2 linked regions of the Caenorhabditis elegans genome follow. The protein of the gene in region 1 purifies or fractionates together with the protein of each later gene. This does not show direct contact. Each region holds a gene or a part of one and is shown in the gene's direction. Other genes may lie near its edges.

Region 1 (5,268 bases):
AAGACGAATGAGAGGGCACTCATTGAAACTAATAAGCCGAATGAGAATGTACGAAACAATGGGGATTGAATACCAGATGTCTCTCAGAACGAACGTCCATAGGACCTTACTAATTTTTTCGATTTTCACCAAAGGCGCCGAGAAGACGTCACATAATGGAATGTGTTTTATGGTGACAAACTGGCAGGATTCCAAGATTTTGGTCATTATTACATATGAACACAAAACTAAAACATCTGGCAATGCGGGAAGGATGAGTCAGTAAAAAAATTGAAGTTTTTGAGTGAACTTTGCAGAATATTGAACGACCTAATAACTGATCGGATGAAACTTCTTGTTGTTCTGCAAATAAATTGGCATTACATCGGATTCTATAAACATAGTTTTACAGAAAAGTTACTATCAAGAAAAATGTTGAGCAACGTGAGGTTTTTTGTTATATTATACTTTTTAAAAACTATCTGGACACCATCTTACTCGCTTCTACGAGATTCTTTTAAAAACGAACATTTTCTCAATCTTCTGCTCCTGTTGTTTAGGAAATCTTTACACTGCACACAGAAAAAAATCCCTTAATCTTTTCAGTGTCCCAACCAAGAACTGACTACACCCTAAATAGTTTATTAAAGGCAGAGTACTCGGATGATGTGCTCCACGATTGATCAGACTTAAACGTCTCAGGACATACACCTTCGCTCGTCGTATACAAAGCCGAAGCCAATCAGAAGGTACCGCACAGCACATTTTCCATCGAGAACTCTGTCTGGACTTATAAGTTTTCGCTCGTTCTTTTTTGTTTTGACCTACCGCGTACTCGCGCGCAATCTCATTTTGATAACCCGTCGTCACCGCCCCATCAGGCCCCGCCCTATTCCAGCTAGAATAAGAGCCGAAGTTTTCTTCATTTTTGACCTTTTCACTTTATCCTTTTTGTTTTGTCTTTTTGTATCGCTCCCCTGTTACATGAATTGTTAGAATTTTGTTAGTATCGATATAAATATTCATTACTGCGCAGACAAAGAAAAAATGCAAAGCAGAGGAACTGGTGGAAGAACCTAACAGATGAAGCAGGTACAGTGAAAACTTAAAGTTTGCAATAAATGTGCAGCACGTTCATGCACAAATTTTATAATTCATTTTATTTTGGAGTCATGTAACAGTTAGATATATTTTTCAAGATTAATAAATTTAAACGCTCTTCTGATGTTTATAAAATAAAATGGTCTTTCAGGCTCACAACGCGAAAAGAAGAGCAAATGCTGAGCAAGATCGTTTGGAGCTTGCTGAAGCCGCAGCTATCGAGCCGCAGCTATCTTTACAATAAATTTGTTGTGCGTGCATGCGAAAATTTTATAATTTAAGGATGCCGAGCCAGCAAAGGAGAATGATTCTGATGAGGAAGAAGTTTCCGACGAGGAGAGCGCGATCACTGACGAGACTTCTGTATACTGGTGGAATCGTGACGATCCCTACTACTCGGATGATGATTCAGCACCTCTTCAAATTATTTATGTGCAATGAGGTGGCACACACAATCAAATTTTTTTTTGATAGTGTAGCTTGTAGCTCGAAGAAACGACATTCTAGTCTATGATACTTCTATATCACATATCACTCCTCCATCACTTCTCGCTTATTTTATTCCACTGCATCCCTTTTCATTTTGTCCCAGTTTTTATGATTAAACCCTCCCTGTGAATTTTTAACCTTGAAAACCTAAACTCGTTTAAAATTGCATATGATTAAGATTCTGATATGTTTTTTAGTGCATTTTCCTTGTAAAATAAATATATTTCCAGCAAATCGGTTATAAATGTTCATTTTTTTCCCACTGAAAATCTTGTCTACCTGCCTGCGAGGCGACATACGTGTCGTCTGAGATACGTTCTTCTATTATATTAAATAAATCCTCAAATATTTATAAGTTTATTGCAAAAAACGACTACTGTGGAAACCCCAAGTATACGGAGATCACGGTAAAAATTTGGAAGGCATAAAATGGGCACGAAGAAATTTCTGCCTTCTATTGAAACCTGAACGGTTTTATTTACAAGAGGTTTACAAATTTGAGAATCCACAAACACAATGTTTCAAAAACAAATTCAATTTATTTATATATAGGTACAGTAACCTAGAAACCAGTTTGATTCTCAAAATTTGATGGACTCTCGAGAACAGCAAACTACATATAATACTCTCGTTTTGGATCAATAGTGTAAAAGAAAAGAGAAAAGGAGAGGGGGGTGTCACCCCCCTTGCCCCCCCCCTGTCTCTTCCTACTCTTTCTCTAACATTCTTTTCCTCTTCTCTCTATCTACACCCCCCCCCCCATCTCTTCATTCATACCAACCCTTTCCCTCGTTTTTCTTACAAATATCGATTCAGATATATTTATATACTCGTCGATTTAATGTTAATTTTCTAATCAACTTCCAAATTTCAGTATTCGTCATGGAATCCGACGGACTTGAGGAGTTTGATTTCTCGCAGCCACTTCATTATGCGCTCTCCCAACTGAATGCAGATCTCTATGCAGGAATTGAGCAGGAACCCCATTTTGAGACTGTTCACTTTCCCAAACCAGCATCTTTATCTGCAATGGCAGAGGAGGATGATGACGAACGGCCACCGACTACAAATGAGATTATTGATGATCTCGTGGAAAAGTTTGATAATTATCCAAAAATCGTGACTACTATGATGCAGAGAGGTTTGCTCAAAAAACGGCAACAGTGCAGAAAGTGTGATCGAATGATGCATTTGAGAAGGAGAAAGAATTGCTATGAGGTTGGAGATTTTTATACTATATTTAAAATTGATCAGTCAGCTTTACCTACGTGTCTAAAAAGCAGACTTAACTTGTCTTGATTGTCACCTACGCCTAGAAGAAATGTAGAGTAGGCAGCGCAAAATGCCTTGTAGGCATGCATTTTTGAGCCTCTAGTGAAGATTTTAATTTCTAATTGTTGTTCTTTTTTTCAGTGGCGCTGCCGAACAAAGGATAAGAGAGGGGACTGCTCGTCTTGCTCAATAAAATTTGGAAGTTGGTTCGAGTATACCAAGTTATCCTTCAAAACTATTTTCAGTTTTTTGATCATGCACTGTAAAAAGTAAGTTAAAGCTGGTTTTTATTTTATATTTGTGCAAAAGTGAGAAATAAAACTCTGACCAATCAGAATAGTAGGACATGTGCCTTGTTGATTAGTTGGTGGTTTTTTTTCTCATTTCGCGAAAATTCAAAGTCAATAAAAACAATGTTGAATAAAGTTAGATTATAATTAAATTTTGAATAAAACTCAACTTTGAAAACATTGTAGTTGAAAGCTTGAATAATTTTTAACAATTTAATTGAAAAAATATTTAAAAAGTTTCAACACGTATCTTGGTATCAAAAAGTTCAATTAATTTTTCAGCTGTTCCACAAGTCACATGGCCAATGAGCTCAAATTATCAACGCATACAGTGAATGAAACTCGGAAAGTTGTCTATGATCTGACAGATAAAATCGCATCAAAGTATCCCAGAATTGGACAAAATCAGGGAATGGTGTACATAGAAGTGATTCGAATTGAGCCAAAAAAGGCAAACGACTTCATGTACACCATTTTGGCAGGTGAGTATGAGTTTTTAAAACATCTCAAAGATCCCCTACTCTTTCGTCACAGCCTTGGTTGAGTACGTTGCCTTTCATTTAAGAACTCTTTGTAGGCACGTTGGTAGGCATGTTGTTCTTGCTCGTATACATTAAAACTGTAACAATTGTTTCAGGTCAAGAAGCAAACTCCAACAACTGTTTCGCTGTTGTGATGTCTGATGAGATGCCAAGTACAATTGAAAAAGTTAAAATGGAAAAAGTCAATTCACATTCATCAGTTTCAATGATCAAGACTGTTAATGAAAATTTCACCGCTTATGCAAGGTTGGTAACATCTTTAAATTTCTATTCTTTAAATTTTCTTCTTTTTTTCAGTCAAAGCGCAACATTCTTCGACGAGTCAAAAGTCTATTCAAACCCAAGTGATATGTTCTTCACAAATCTTCGCAAAAATCATCCGGAAAGTGCACTCAATTCTGAGCAAGCATTCCAAAGTTGGTTCAATGATCAAGTGGTGAGAAAAACCGAAGGAAAGCGAATGCTCGAAAAATGTGTGGAGGAGCTCAGGACATACACGACATCATAATTTAATTTTATTACGGGGGGAATTTATTTTTGAAATGGTTATGTATAACCATGTACGATCTTACGTGTATTTATCTCACTGGAACGAAGCGAATAAATTACAATTTAATGCTAATAATTTACAAATTTAAGAACAAAACAATTAAAACAGTCCTAGGAAGTTGTTGTTGATGGCAAGAATTGCTGTAATTAAATTAAAAATTAGAATTATACTTTGATTCTTTTCTAATAGAAAAAGTGAGCTTTTAGGTAAAGTTTACCTGCAATAAAGAGCATTGAGACTGTAGCAAAGCTGGAACTCTTGTTCAAATCGGTTAAGCACCACTGGAAAAGTTAACATGATTAAATTCAAAAACAAAAAAAAAACAATACCTGATCGATTGGTTGATCTGGCTTGATAGTATTGGCAAAGTTTCTGAGAATATCTAAATCACAGTATGAACTATTTTGAGGACATCCTTGAATTCCCATAGTCACATCTTTGAATCCACTTCCGTCTTGCTCGTGATATACCATTTTGAAGTATGGTTTCTTGTCGACACTATCAATGTAAAGCTCTAAAAGGACTGCAGCAGAATACAATGGATATCCACCAGACGGTTTTACAGCGTATTCTTCAATTAGAAGTGCGGAGAAGAAGGCGTAGATTGTGGTGTCGTGCTGGAAAATATTTTTTCAACATTTTAAAAATATTTAGAACCATTGTTTTATGGTAAAATTAACTTACAGCAGAGTAAATGTAATTCTTCAAATTATTAATCCATGTGCAATTTGGAGTTGTCTGACCCTGGCACATCAATTTGAGATTTATATGCATAACCATATCATTCAAAATTGGTCCACCTCTGACCTTTCGAGTTAACACTCCTACATCATGTCCGTTGACAATGTTTGGAACAGCTGAAAAATAAAATTACACTTTTATGAGTTGTTTTCTCAATTAATTGAGTCGCTCAGAGGATGGGGAAATTTGAAGTTTTCTCGGCGCCCATTTTTGACCAGCATTTGACCTAACTTCCCGTCAAAGTTTCAGTCATTTTATGTCCAACTTTTCAAAGTTTGATTTTTTTTTGATAATAAAAAATTAG
Region 2 (5,186 bases), 7.1 Mb from region 1:
TACGGAAAAAATACCGAAACCAACCGGTGATTTTTCTATGAAAAAATATCTAAACCGATGCATTTTCTACGGAAAAATATCGTAAACCGCTGAAATTTCTGCGGAAAAATACCGAAACCGGTGATTTTTCTACGGAAAAATGCATCAATCGATTAATTTTCTACGGAAAAAAAAAATCTGAACCGGTGAATTTTCTAGTGAAAAAATACCTAAACGAGTAAATTTTCTACGGAAAAAATACCAAATCCGGTGAATTTTCTACTAAAAAAAATGTCTAAACGGGTTAATTTTCTACGGAAAAATACCTAAATCGATGAATTTTCTTCTAAAAAATTCCTAAACGGGTTAATTTTCTACTGGAAACATACCTAAGTCACTGATCTTATACGTTCTTCTAAATCATTTGAATGCAATTTTCATATGATTTCCCGACATTGTACATATACTTGGTACCCTGCCATTTTCCCATGGTTAACTGCCACATCATCAATGTGCCTCAACCATTGTGAAAGGTGTGACGATGGACGTCCCAAATGGCTTTATTGATCGTGTGTTGGCTGGATTCATCGTTCGATTTTATTATTCCACGACGCACGATGTGCATGAGTGATGTTAAAATTATCGGTTTTTTTCTACGGAAAAAAGCATAAATCGGTATATTTTCAACGGAAAAATCGTAAACCGTTGAAATTGAACTTTCTTCTATGTACATCGCTATTGAGTTGATATACGAAATTATCATTCCAAAAGCCCTGCGATTATAGAAGTTAGATTCTCGAATTCCCGACAAATGTGTTCTGTAACTTGTTAAATTTCCATTTTCTTGCCAGGTATACAATATTCCATTTGTATGGCGAATGTTAGTTCGGTAGATCGTTGGTTTTAATGATTACACGAATTGTGAATCATAATGCAATCTTCTTCGCTTTTCTACGGAAAATGTTCGGAATTTTCAACACATTTACATATTTTGAGATGATTTTCCCGTAACTCGGTGTAAATTAGTACTCTATACTGTTAAAACAAATTTAACAATAAGATAAAATTAATCTTATTATCGATATCAATCAATTAGGTCCCTGCGCCATGTACCAGGGATGGGCGACAATTTCCGTTCGGCAATTAGGCAAATTGCCGATTTGCCGGAAATGTTTAGAGGGATTTTTTACAAGACGGAAACACTTAAAACTGTCTTTTTGAATTTTTCCCGTTTTTCTACATATTTTCATAGAATTTGCAACCTTTTCGTGTCTCGCATTGCCACCCTCACCCTCCCTTTCTTTCACCTTTTCCGTCAGTTTTCGTTACATAGAGGTCTCGTTTTTCAAATTTTTCCAAGTACACAATTTTTGAATTCTCCTAATTTAGTGAGCCTGAAAAGCCTAATTTTTTCAAAAGATGGTGTAGTCGAAATTAAAATTGTCTCCGAATTTTATTATGAAACCTCTTGAAAACTTCTCAAAAAAAAAATTATGACGGCTCAAAAAATGGCCTGAAATTAGTTAAAATTTGAAATTTGACTTGTCAGCGGCTGGAAACTTACTTTTTTTTTTGAAATTACCGTATAATTTTTGGCATAAAATTAATTATCTTGCGTTTTCAACTAGATTTAGGTAAATTTAAGGTCGATGAATTACCAGATTTGGTAAAATTGCCTTAAATGTACCTAAATCTAGTTGAAAACGCAAGATAATGTGTATACTTAAAATTTGACGGTTATTTCAAAAAAATTGTTTCCAGCCGCTGACAAGTCAAATTTCAAATTTTAACTAATTTTAGGTCATTTTTTGAGCCGCCATAACTTTTTTTTGAGAAGTTTGCAAGAGGTTTCATTATAAAATTCGGAGACAATTTTAATTTCGACTACACCATATTTTTTAAAAAAATAGGCTTTTCAGGCTACCAAAATAAATAGGAGAATTCAAAAATTGTTCAGTGTTTTTAGACAATTTTGAGTCCAAATAAGCAATAATATTTCAAAAAACAAATAATTTTTTGCGAGTTTTTACAATAATTGTCCCCAAAATTGCAATTATTCTGACTTTTTTTTTCAAAAAATCCAAGAAAATTTCGCTGAATTTCCACTGGTTTTTTTCCGATTTTTTTCAAATTCTCCCTTTCACTCTCTCTCTTACAATTACTCAAATCACTCGCCTATTACATTAAAAATTCCCTTCATCTTCCAGATTACAACACAAAAACCATCATGGCTAAAGGCAAAAAACAGCGCCGCAGTGAGAAGATCATACCATTGACACAACTCGCGTTTGTCGTCGATTCAAGAGATCCGTGGGACGATGAGCCGCGTTAGTAGTTTGCAATTTTTTTTAGAAAAACCAGAATTTTTCAGCGTTTTTCTATGAAAATTCCGGAAAATACGAGAAAAATTAGGATAAAAATCGGAGAAATTCAGTAATTATTGGAAAATAACCCTTTTTTTTGGATAGAAAATTCAAAAATTTTTCTCAAAATATTGAAAAAATCGAAAAATTTCAGTTTGTTCGAACTTAAAAAAATTTTTTAACGAAATTAGGCATTAAAAAAAATCGTTGTTTTTTTCTAAAATGGTTTTTGACGATTTTTCACTAAAAATGTCAAATTTTCTATAAAAAAATGCTGAAAACCCGGTGATTTTTTAATAAAAATAATTGGAAAAACGACGAAAATCGATTAAGAATGTTTTTTTTGCTAAAAAAATTTGGAAAAAATCAAAAAGATAAATTTTTGACTCAAAAACGGTGGGAACCTGAGATTTTTTCAACAAAAAAATTGGAAAAACTGAAATTTTAGATTTTTTTTCGAGAAAAATTCCACTTTTTCTTATTATTTTCAGACAATTTTTCGAATTGAAAATTTCAGAAATTCAGAAAATCGTGAATTTTGACTTGAAAAATTTTAAAATTTAAAAAAACAATTTTTCACCCAAAAACGCTAAAAACCTGAGGTTTTTTCCACAAAAAAAATTGGAAAAATTCCAAAATTTATTTGAAAATCTATAATTTTCAGCGTCAAAAGAGGACATCGCTCGTGCACATTTTGAGAATCGCCAGCAAAAACGTGACTATCTGCCGGTCACAACATCCAGAGAGCTCCGTTATGCAGTAGAATGGCCAAGTGTTGTGAAGAATGTTACCGTACCATATTATCAAAATGTAGGGTTTTTTTTTGTTGAAAAATTTGAAAAAAAATCCTGTTTTCCCCCTGAAAAATTGCAGTTAATTTGAAAAAAAAATATGGAAAAATTAGGATTTTTCCGGAAAAAATGCCGTTTTAAGAGTTTTTTCCTGAAATTTACGAAAAAAATTGATTTCCATAATTTTTAAAACGATTTTCTAAATAATTATAAATTATAAATTATCAGAAGCTATTTTTCATTTTTTTTTTCGGACGAAAATTTTTCTATTCACCGTATTTATACTGCTGATACCTAATATCGATGTGAAAAAATTCAAAAAAAATTCCCAGATTTTTAATTAATTTTTAAAAATCCGAAAATCCATTGGTTTGTTAAATTAAAACGACAATTTTTGCTTGATAACCGTGCCGCAGTTGTGTGGATTTACGAGATTAATATTTTTAATTCATTTTTATTTAATTTTCACACCGATTTTCCCGATTTTTCTCGTTTTTTTCCTAGTTTTACATTGAAATTCTTGTGATTTCCATTAATTTATAATTTTTTATTAATTAAAACAATTAAAATTACATGAAATATTCTATCTCCAGCAGAAGGTCGATTGTTTCATGTAATTTTACTTGTTTTCATAAATAAAAAGTCACAAGAATTTCAATGTAAAACAACGAAAAAAAAAAAACGAGAAAAATCTGGAAAATTGGTATGAAAATTAAATAAAAATGAATTAAAAATATTAATCTCGTAAATCCACACCTGCGGCACGGTTATCAGGCAAAAATTGTCGTTTGAATTTAACAAACCAATGGATCTTCGGATTTTTAAAAATTAATATAAAATCAGGGAAATTTTTTTGATTTTTTTCGCATTGATTTTCGGTATTAGGAGCATAAATAGGGTCTAAAGAGTAATTTTTAGTAGCAAATTTTAATTGTCCATTACACTGAAAATGAGAAAAAAAGTGAAGATAATGCGAATTTATTTCTCAAATTTTCTCAAAAAAAAAATCAATTTTTTGTTTTTTTCCAGGAGTCCCAAGACACAAGCCAGGCTCTCTGTGGACGTTCCCTCGTGTCAACTACCGTAAGCACCAATCCATCGTGCTCCACCGCACAAATCGACGTCGCCGCGTTCGAGCAAACCACCAGAGAGCTTGTCGGCCGGGCCGCTAACATGAAAACTCGTTTTTGGCTTAAATTTTGTGTCGTTTGGCCACTCGGACCACAAGATATTCGACGGATTCACAGAGAGGTTTGTTGGGAAAATCGGAAAAAATCTATTTTTAAAAAAAATTGGTTTAAAAAAATCAGAAATTAAAAATTTTGTTTGGGAAAAAATGCAGAAAATTTTTCAGAAAGTTCAAAAAATCGATGAAAATCGCAGAAATTAATTTTAAAAAATGTGGTCCACTAACTTTTATTAGAGAAAATTCAAAATTTTCGCTAAAAGTTTCAAAAAAAAAAACAGAAATTGAAGGGTTTTTGGAGAGTTTTACTAAAAAATTTTTAAAAAAATCACAAAAAACAGGAAATTCTGCCAAAATTCAAAATTTCATGGGTTTTCCTTATTTTTCTTGAATTTTAAAGAAAAAAGTCATTTCAAAATTTAAAAAAATTCCCAATAAATTCAACAATTCCCTCCTTCCTTCCAGAATATCAATTTCAACAAGCGTCGCTGCGAATACCTCACCTTCAACAACACGCCTACCGCCTACCTACTCATCGACTCGGATGGCGACCCAGAATACACAAAGAACATCATCCGCCGAAAGCTGGGCTCCGCCGCTGCTCCGTCTCCACCGATTCTACTCGCCGCGCCGAACAGTGGCTACGCGATTCGATTCCGACACGGTGAAGAAATGCCGACGCTCATTCAAAAGTCATCCGAGTCGCAGTTTGCGCTGGTTTTCGACGAAAAGTACACGGAATTCACGAAATGCTCGGCTCGTGTGTTCTACGAGAGACTTTTGAGATGTCCGCTACGTTTCGATCGAAAGTTGGAGCAATCAGAGAAGCTTTGGATACAGAAGAATCTCAAGAGAAATGATTTGGCT

Evidence for each region.
Region 2: the proteins of EGAP2.1 (region 1) and Y57A10A.31 fractionate together in Caenorhabditis elegans (co-fractionation; one large-scale study listed by BioGRID). This does not show direct contact.

The regions. Positions count from the first base shown.
Region 1 is NC_003280.10:5,228,981-5,234,248, forward strand, and holds EGAP2.1 (DDE_Tnp_ISL3 domain-containing protein), read left to right. Parts: upstream 1-2,430; 5' UTR 2,431-2,451; coding exon 2,452-2,787; intron 2,788-2,982; coding exon 2,983-3,110; intron 3,111-3,413; coding exon 3,414-3,613; intron 3,614-3,768; coding exon 3,769-3,919; intron 3,920-3,970; coding exon 3,971-4,181; 3' UTR 4,182-4,295; downstream 4,296-5,268. Other genes in the region: EGAP2.2 (Ribosome biogenesis GTPase RsgA), read left to right, coding at 1,063-1,071, 1,232-1,324; pho-1 (Intestinal acid phosphatase), read right to left, coding at 4,323-4,363, 4,441-4,504, 4,553-4,840, 4,908-5,080.
Region 2 is NC_003280.10:12,287,199-12,292,384, forward strand, and holds the start of Y57A10A.31 (RING-type domain-containing protein), read left to right. Parts: upstream 1-2,186; 5' UTR 2,187-2,206; coding exon 2,207-2,306; intron 2,307-3,006; coding exon 3,007-3,152; intron 3,153-4,162; coding exon 4,163-4,384; intron 4,385-4,784; coding exon 4,785-5,186.